2 linked regions of the Danio rerio genome follow. The protein of the gene in region 1 interacts with the protein of each later gene in a pairwise test. Links are inferred from orthologs where the notes say so. Each region holds a gene or a part of one and is shown on either strand. Other genes may lie near its edges.

What was found. The genes of interacting proteins can lie anywhere in the genome.
Region 2: the proteins of lmo4b (region 1) and kiaa1958 interact in binary tests that used the Homo sapiens proteins (3 or more experiments, as listed by UniProt). The two-hybrid records come from large-scale screens. The link is inferred for Danio rerio from reciprocal best matches to the Homo sapiens genes LMO4 and KIAA1958.

The regions. Positions count from the first base shown.
Region 1 is NC_133181.1:28,424,085-28,428,375, forward strand, and holds the start of lmo4b (LIM domain transcription factor LMO4b), read right to left. Parts: upstream 2,812-4,291; 5' UTR 2,441-2,811; intron 171-2,440; 5' UTR 166-170; coding exon 1-165. UniProt on the Homo sapiens protein: Transcription cofactor. Plays a role in establishing motor neuron identity, in concert with MNX1, acting, at least in part, to disrupt LDB1-LHX3 complexes thereby negatively modulating interneuron genes in motor neurons.
Region 2 is NC_133185.1:11,943,973-11,947,491, reverse strand, and holds part of kiaa1958 (uncharacterized protein KIAA1958 homolog), read right to left. Parts: intron 2,773-3,519; coding exon 1,761-2,772; intron 1-1,760.

The DNA.
Region 1 (4,291 bases):
GGCCTGGCAGCAGGAACATTTCAGACAGCGGCTGTGCCAATAGCTGTCCATGGCATAGAGGAGAAACCGATCAGCAATCTTTCCCCCACAGCCCGCGCAGCGCTTCCACGACAGAGATCCCGCTCCAACAGGTGGGGGCTGGGCACTTCCTCCAGGGTTCACCATTGTGTCTGCAGAAACATAAAGAGACAGGGAGAAACACTGGAGCAGTAAGTCAAGAGTTAAGCAGTTTTTAAATGCGTGTGCAAGAGTACTATTTTATATTCTAGTTTTGTAGCTAAATACAAATCAAAAGCCCTTTCAACAAATGACAAACAGTTGAAATTAAAATTAGTAGCCCCTATTTTATTTATTTATTTATTTATTTTCCTAAATGATGTTTAACAGAGCAAGGAAATTTTCACAGTGTGTCTGATAATATTTTTTTTCTTTTGGAGAAAGTCTTATTTGTTTTATTTCAGCTAGAATGAAAGCAGTTTTTGATTTTTATTTTTTTTTTATTTTAAGGTCAATATTATTAGCTCCTTTAAGCTATTTTTTTCTTTAAAAATCTACAGAACAAACTTCTAAACAAATGTTTAGAAATGTGTTGAAAAAATCCTCTACTTAAACAGAAATTGGGGAAAAATAAACAGGAGGGCTAATAATTTTGACTTCAAAAGTATATATATATATATATATATATATATATATATATATATATATATATATATATATATATATATATATTTGCACACAGTTAAAAAAAGAAAGAAAAGTAACTATAAAAGCATTCAGCATTACTTAAATCCACATCTCACAAAGCAAGCACACCTAAGTTTCCTCAACTTCTGACAGAAGTTTTGTCTTAGAAATATCTAAAACACCTGGAGCCTGAACAGTGACCTAAAACACTGAATGTTTTGGGAGGCACGCTTCCTAAAAGCTCTTTTGAAATAATTTAAATGCATATAATGCCTTCAAGCAAGTCTGAGAATTGTTTAAAGTGGCAGGCTGTCCTTGATCTTTATCTAAGTGCTGAAGTCAGCTCCTTTGGTCCATTTGTGATAAATGTCTGTTCACTGATAACATTAAAGTCACTGGAACAATTAGAAGCACTGGCTTTTGTTAGGTTGTCTGCATTGCTTTAAAAGTACATTTTCCTGAACCTTCATGAGAGAGAGAGAAAGAGAGAGAGGAATCCAAATGCTACTGTTGCCAGAACTGGAGAAGTTAATTGAGGAAGCCTTAAAGTTGTACGACCCATTCAGAGGTCGACATATTCCAATTGCTTTCACTAAGGTTATCAGATGACGGATTTCCAGCCAACATCATGAAGAACATTCAGCAGCATTCGCTTTGGGGACTGGTCACTGCTGCGTGAAATTACCCCTACTATGTTGGATCATTCTGCATATGCAAGAAATCAGTTAATGCCGGCCTACAGAAATATCTGCCTCTGACAGAAATCACATTAACCACAAACCCTCATTTACGATTGCAGTTCTGTGCTTTGCTCTGTTGATCCATCAGTACTGTGTGTGTGCAATGTTTCCCAGGTTTCATAAGGAGGGCTGCTGGACCGAAGTGGGAAAGATTAAAATTTAAGATATATTCGTGAAAGGCTGTAAGCCAAATCTTTGTTGAAAGGTAATTAGAGGAGAAGAGAGAGGCGGGGGGTAGAAAACATTGCACTGAGAGAGAAAGAGAGAGAGAGAGGCATTCAGTAACCCCATTAGTGGAGGCTCTTAGGGACAAGCAATACCTTAGTGCTGATTAAATCTAAAGGGAGATGAATCAGAGACCGAAAGTGACTCCCCCAGATAAATAAGATCGGACCATCGTCAAGTTTCATTCCCTGGAAGAGGGAAGAGGGGAGATTTGAAGAGAGGGAGGGGGTGGCTTTTAAGTCAAATGGGCAAACTCAAGTAATTACACGGACAGGCAATTTAAGAGAGGGGATGTGCAGAAATATAAAACAGATCAGCAGCCCATGGCCAGTAATACAGATCGCGGTGCTGGAGACTAAATACAGCTGCTCCTGCCAGAATGCACAATGCAACATGGACAGAATTGCACTTGTGTTATGGTTTGTTGACCATCTGTACAGCACGCGCGCACTTAAGATGCACTAATAAGATATTAAACTCGAAATGCCAGCAATTTCCAAGATTACGTCTAAATAACCTATGTGGTCTTCTTATGAAACAACGCGCATCGCTCATGTTTAATTCACTAACGTACATTATTACGGTATAAGTGCGTGACATGCAACACAATTTGCACACAAGCACAATACATAAAATCTAGTCATTAAGTAACTGTAATCTTTTATGCTTTCGTGTGTAGTGTTTTTCTGCAACATCAATTCTGTCGCTCCGTAACAAACGTGTCTCGTCAAACTACGAAATATTACCATTCATAAAGCAAAATACGGTTAGTTGAAGAGAAGTGCACTTACCTCTTTGAAATGTAATGGTTGAATGGTGGTGAGAAATGTACAGCAGTCTGTTTTCTCTGTAGAAAATATATAAAAAATAACGCGCACAGTCCAACAAACTCACAGACGGAGCAGCGCGTGGATGAACACTTCTCGCTGCTGCGAAAGAGTCAAGCAAATGGAGTTTTCAGATTATATTTCCACTGTTGCCGTCACCTTTTTTCTCAGATGCTCTTATTATCACTGAAAAGCTCGGCGGCGGGTTTGTTGATGGAGCTGTCGGCAAGGTCTTCGGTAATTTCCATAGATGAAGAGAGCGCTTGTGTTTGTAACTGTCCTCTCTCGCGCGCTGATGTCTCGCCGCTGCTTGTCGCTTGTGCTCTACATGTGTCAGTGACAGAAAAAAACCCAGAGTAAACCTCCTCTCGCAGGATGACGTCAATCAGGCTGTGGCCAATCATGACGCACTCCATTCAAGCGGAATGAGGAATACAGCCAATCAAAAGAAGGCGAGGTTGACTTCGACACACACTGTTCAAAGAAGGAAAGATTGCGGTTGAGAGTGGCTGTCTGCTTGTTGAGGTTGGACAGGGCAGAGGTGTTCAACCGTCGGGACCGGGTCCCACTATGGGGCCTCGGTAAGCGCACAAGGGGTCCCCAAAATGAAACATTTTTAAATAAAAAAACATTTTATACGGAATTAATTCCTCATTTACAGCATAAGACCAACAAGAACCGTACATTCATAATATTTATTATTTAAAGGAGTTGACAGTTTTCACATCTGCATAAAATCACAGCTCCCTGAATATTGTCTTGCATGTTAAGAAAAAGTTTAGATATATTTATTGTATTTTCTGTTACTTTTAGTCTCTGTTATATTACATTATTAATTGGTTTTCATTTTTACTTATATATTTATGTATTTGTCTTTATATATTTGTAATCAAATGTAGTTAATTTATTTGATTAAATATGATTATAAATTTTACATGACTCTTCAACTAAAATATACTTAAAATATTTAGTTTTACAGTTATTAGTTTACTTAATACTAATGTGGTATTAAAATAATAATAATAATAAAATAATAATAAAAATAATAATAACAACAACAATAATATATATATATATATATATATATATATATATATATATATATATATATATATATATATATATATATATATATATATATATATATATATATGTTTTTTTTTTTTTTTTTGTGCAGATATGAATTATTCTACCTTTCCTTTGACATTGAAAGAATGTCTGCAGAGCAAATCCTTCATCTGGAGAACTTCTGCTCCATATCTACAAAACTGATTGTGGAAGTTTCATGCTATTAGTAAGTATTCCAGTGTTTAAGTGTTCCCATATACATATTTCATCTATTTCATATTAGATTGACTGAGGGCTGTGTTAACTATATAAAAGTCTATTTGGTTTCATGGACAAAGTGAAAATTCACTACACCACTACAGAAGTCACGCTCATGTTCTTATAACAGTGGCGCCATCCCCTGGTATAAATGAGAACTAAAACTATAGATTTGTTGGTCGCCTTTTCTAAGATTTAGCTTTGAGACTTAGCATAACCTTAATAAATTCTTTAAAATAAAATAAAATATTCAATAATAAGGTTAACATGTCATGCACATCATTATGTCACAAAATCATGAAACAACTGTTATTCTATTTATTTACAAAGGTCACAAATACACCAAGAAAGAACATCATTTTTTATGTCCGAAGGCTTTTAAAGATGATTTGGGTAGCACTTTATTTTGATGGTCCAATTGAGTATTAGTAGACTGTCTGCTAGATATCTGTTGATACTGCTCCTTCAACAGACATTTAACTGACTATA
Region 2 (3,519 bases), on another chromosome or scaffold:
CACTCAGGCACACCTCTTCCAACCGGGCCAGGGCCAGCCAAGTGAACCATGCCTGAGCCCGATTCAGCGCACTCACACTTCTCCAGGAAACGGGCATGGGCACGGTTCAAATAGCATAGTGTGAGTAGGCCCTAATTGGGGTTGAAGCTAAACTCTGCAGGACACTGACCCTCAAGGACCGAGTTTGGACAGGCCTGGTCTATAGTCTTAAAATAATTGACAATAAAACTATTATAACATTGTTTTAATGTCTACTGTCTTTCAACATGATGATGGTCAATTGCAGATCTTATGCAAGCATATTCATGTCGCCGTGATCCTGTTTAACTACTGTTTTCTTTCCGCCATTAACATTCACGTTTAGGTTCTTGCATGTTAAGGCTTGTGCACACCGGGATGATTATTAAGCACAATGAGGTATATGCAGAGCTAGTGTTTTTCAGCCAATGATAAATTTCTGGTGAAAGCTTAATGTAAATATTTTCATTTTCATAAGGTTTAACAGCATCAATGTTATTATGTAATTACAATAAATTCAGTTTAATAGACTAAAGCATGCGTTCAGTTGTTTAATCGTAATATTAGATGAAAAGACTGTATTCGCTAGCGCTGTCAGGATCAGCAGGTGAGCGCAGAAACTTTATTGAAAATACTGGGGTAAACATATTCTAAAGAGATGGCGGACGAAAAAGGAATTTAATGCAGTGCTTCTTCTTGTCCGGTCTGGACACACTTCATATCATATATCTATCAGGAAGCAAAGATCGCTGATTTTTAAAGAAATAAGACCTTAAACATGGCAGTTTTATAATGGAAAGACAGTTGCTGGAAGTGAAAATGTCCCAGCATGCACAATGTTTTGTGTGTGAACAAATGTAAGCACAAACAATAATAATGCGTTCACACCAAACGTGGACGAAGCATCAATCGCGTGTGATTTACATGATTGACATTCCGCAGCACGAATGGCACAATTTGTGTGAATAAAGAGACATGAGTTAAGCGTTTTGTGCATTTGAACTTAAGCATAGATTCGCGTCAGGAGTTTTCTCTTGTAGGGGCATGATTATGACGTTATGCTTTTTGATCCTGTAGAAAATCCTCTTGCAGACACCAGACAACAGCTTATCAAACTGGGCTCGGCTCAGTCAGAGGCATCACTGAAAGCCTCCATCATCCAGGTATACTTTCCAAAGGAGTTTATAAACTCACAGAGCTGGGTGCACCTCTGAAAGGATCTAGTGGACTTAGACATGGTGCCGAAGAAATATACGCTGTTTTTCAGCGTTCTTAATGCACATAAAACACAGCTATTCTCTTAATAAAGTCCATGTAAGCCATTTAGCAACAAAGCTAGAGTCACTGGGCAAAAAGAAGTGCAAATCTGCATCTATAGTAAAGTGAATTTGACGTGCGAATGAAGTGAGTAAATGTCCGTGCATATATTCGCACATGCCGCATCTGGTTGAACGCAGCATACGAGGGGAACTGTAACTCATTGATTGGCCACTGGTGTCGCTAAAAACAAGTTTTTTATTTTTATTTCCTTTTGCCGTTTTGTAAGTGAAGTTAGAGAGAGAGACTAGGGCAAGATTGAATAAGGTCTGTGAGTTGGGAATCAGAACGCTCACAGTGCAGTTGTGCTATATGTTGCTAACAGCACTGATAAGTCTTTCTAAACTTGCATACAGCCACTTTAACCAACAACATTCTCAACAACATACACTTCTGTAACATTTCTTACACAGAAGGCTCTTTACCTGTGTTGTCTGCTCTCGCTTCTGTACTAAGTGCCTGTGCAGATAGAAGATCCATTTCTGGGTTTGCGCCAATCGAAGCCTCTCCGTAAGACAAAGACGGTCTGGGATATTCATCTCTGTGCAGGACACCCATAGCGTCAATCCGTCCAGGATGAGGTAAAGTGGGCATACTCTGACTGCACGCTGGATTAGAGTTCATGTGCACTTTATTTTGGGTAACATGGAAAGGTGCACGCAGTGGCTTGATCATGGAAGTAGGAGAACTGTCCAAGGGAGATGACGACACCCCCATTGAGTCTCCATCTATGGAAGAAGGTTTCTGGGACATCAAAGGTGTGCTCTGGAGGTTCGGTTTGGGCAACTCGGTAGAGCGGTTTATCTCTGAACTGCTGGGAATCTGTGGATTGGCCAAACTGTAGTAATCTTCGCCTCTTTCTTGTTTGATTTTCTTCAAGGAGGGGTCAATACTGTCTTCATGTCCCGTCCCTTTTCCATGTCTTTTCCTGTGCGAGATGTTTGGCGTGTGATTGAAGTCAGAATCACCATCTTCATCAGTTGCTGATGATTCACAGACTATGTCGTACAAGTTGTTGTTATACTCCTCGCCATTATCGTCCATTTCTGAAGGTTCACTGCAGTTGGAAATATCGCAGGAGTCGTGGATCTGATTGGAATCGCCTTTGTTTTTTTTTCCGAGGAATCGATCTGCCGAGGAGTTTTGCATGGCGGCGGCGGCCTGAATCATAGTGTCTGTGTTGATGCTCCGACTTTCCTGGAAACACATGCGCTCCTTGTTTCCGGTTTTGCAGGTGGTGTTGAGGGGCCAGTGGTAGGCATGCCCGGCGCTGCAGCCCCACAGGGCCGTGAGGGTCCCATGGGAGCCCTCGTTCAGCATGTGTTTGAGGTTGGGGATCAAGGTGCAGATTGTCCCGTGACTGTGGGCCCATTTCACTAGTTTAGCGAGGTTGTCAGAGGAAGTGTGCAAGCAGTCCTCCATGTTGAGCCTCCTCCCCTGGGATGACAAAATGAATAGATTTTTTCAAATCCAATTAGATTTGCATATCAAGCCAACAAGAATTGAAAACTGCCTCCCTAATAATAAAATCATTAGAATGTTCATAATATGAGCTAATATATGATTTTTTTAACAAATGATACATTTCCTAATATGTTTTTCAGTTTATCTTCTGTGTAATTTATTCAACTGGTTTTTAAACCTACAATCAAACAAAAAAAAACAAAAAAAAAACAATATGTATTGCATTTAGAAATTAGGTGAATTTACATTTAAAGAATCAAGTGACATCAAATACTAAGATGTTCATATTAAATTTCCAATTAAGTATTTTACCTCAGTCTTAAGCAAAAAAACTCTTACGCAAAAAAGTCAAATTTCTGAAAAAAAAAAAAGTTTAATATAATAAACGATAATAAGCTGAAATAAATACACTTCATAAAAGGGGTTAAAGGTATTGATTTACCCAAAGTTTAATCAATTACTCAACCTTATACCATTCAACCTTCATTTTACAACACTGTAAAATCCAACAGTCAACTTTATCAAATGAAATGAGTGTAGTTAACTCAAAATTTACTGAAAGTTAATTAACTCATCTAAAAAGAGTTTTGAACTCAGTGTTGAAGGTAATGAGTTAATTAAATAACTCATCATTTCTTCAACTTAAATGGAGTAAGTTCACAGGTCTCACATAGATTAGCTTTTTTTTTTTTACTCAAATGGTTTGTAGCAATCGGTTTC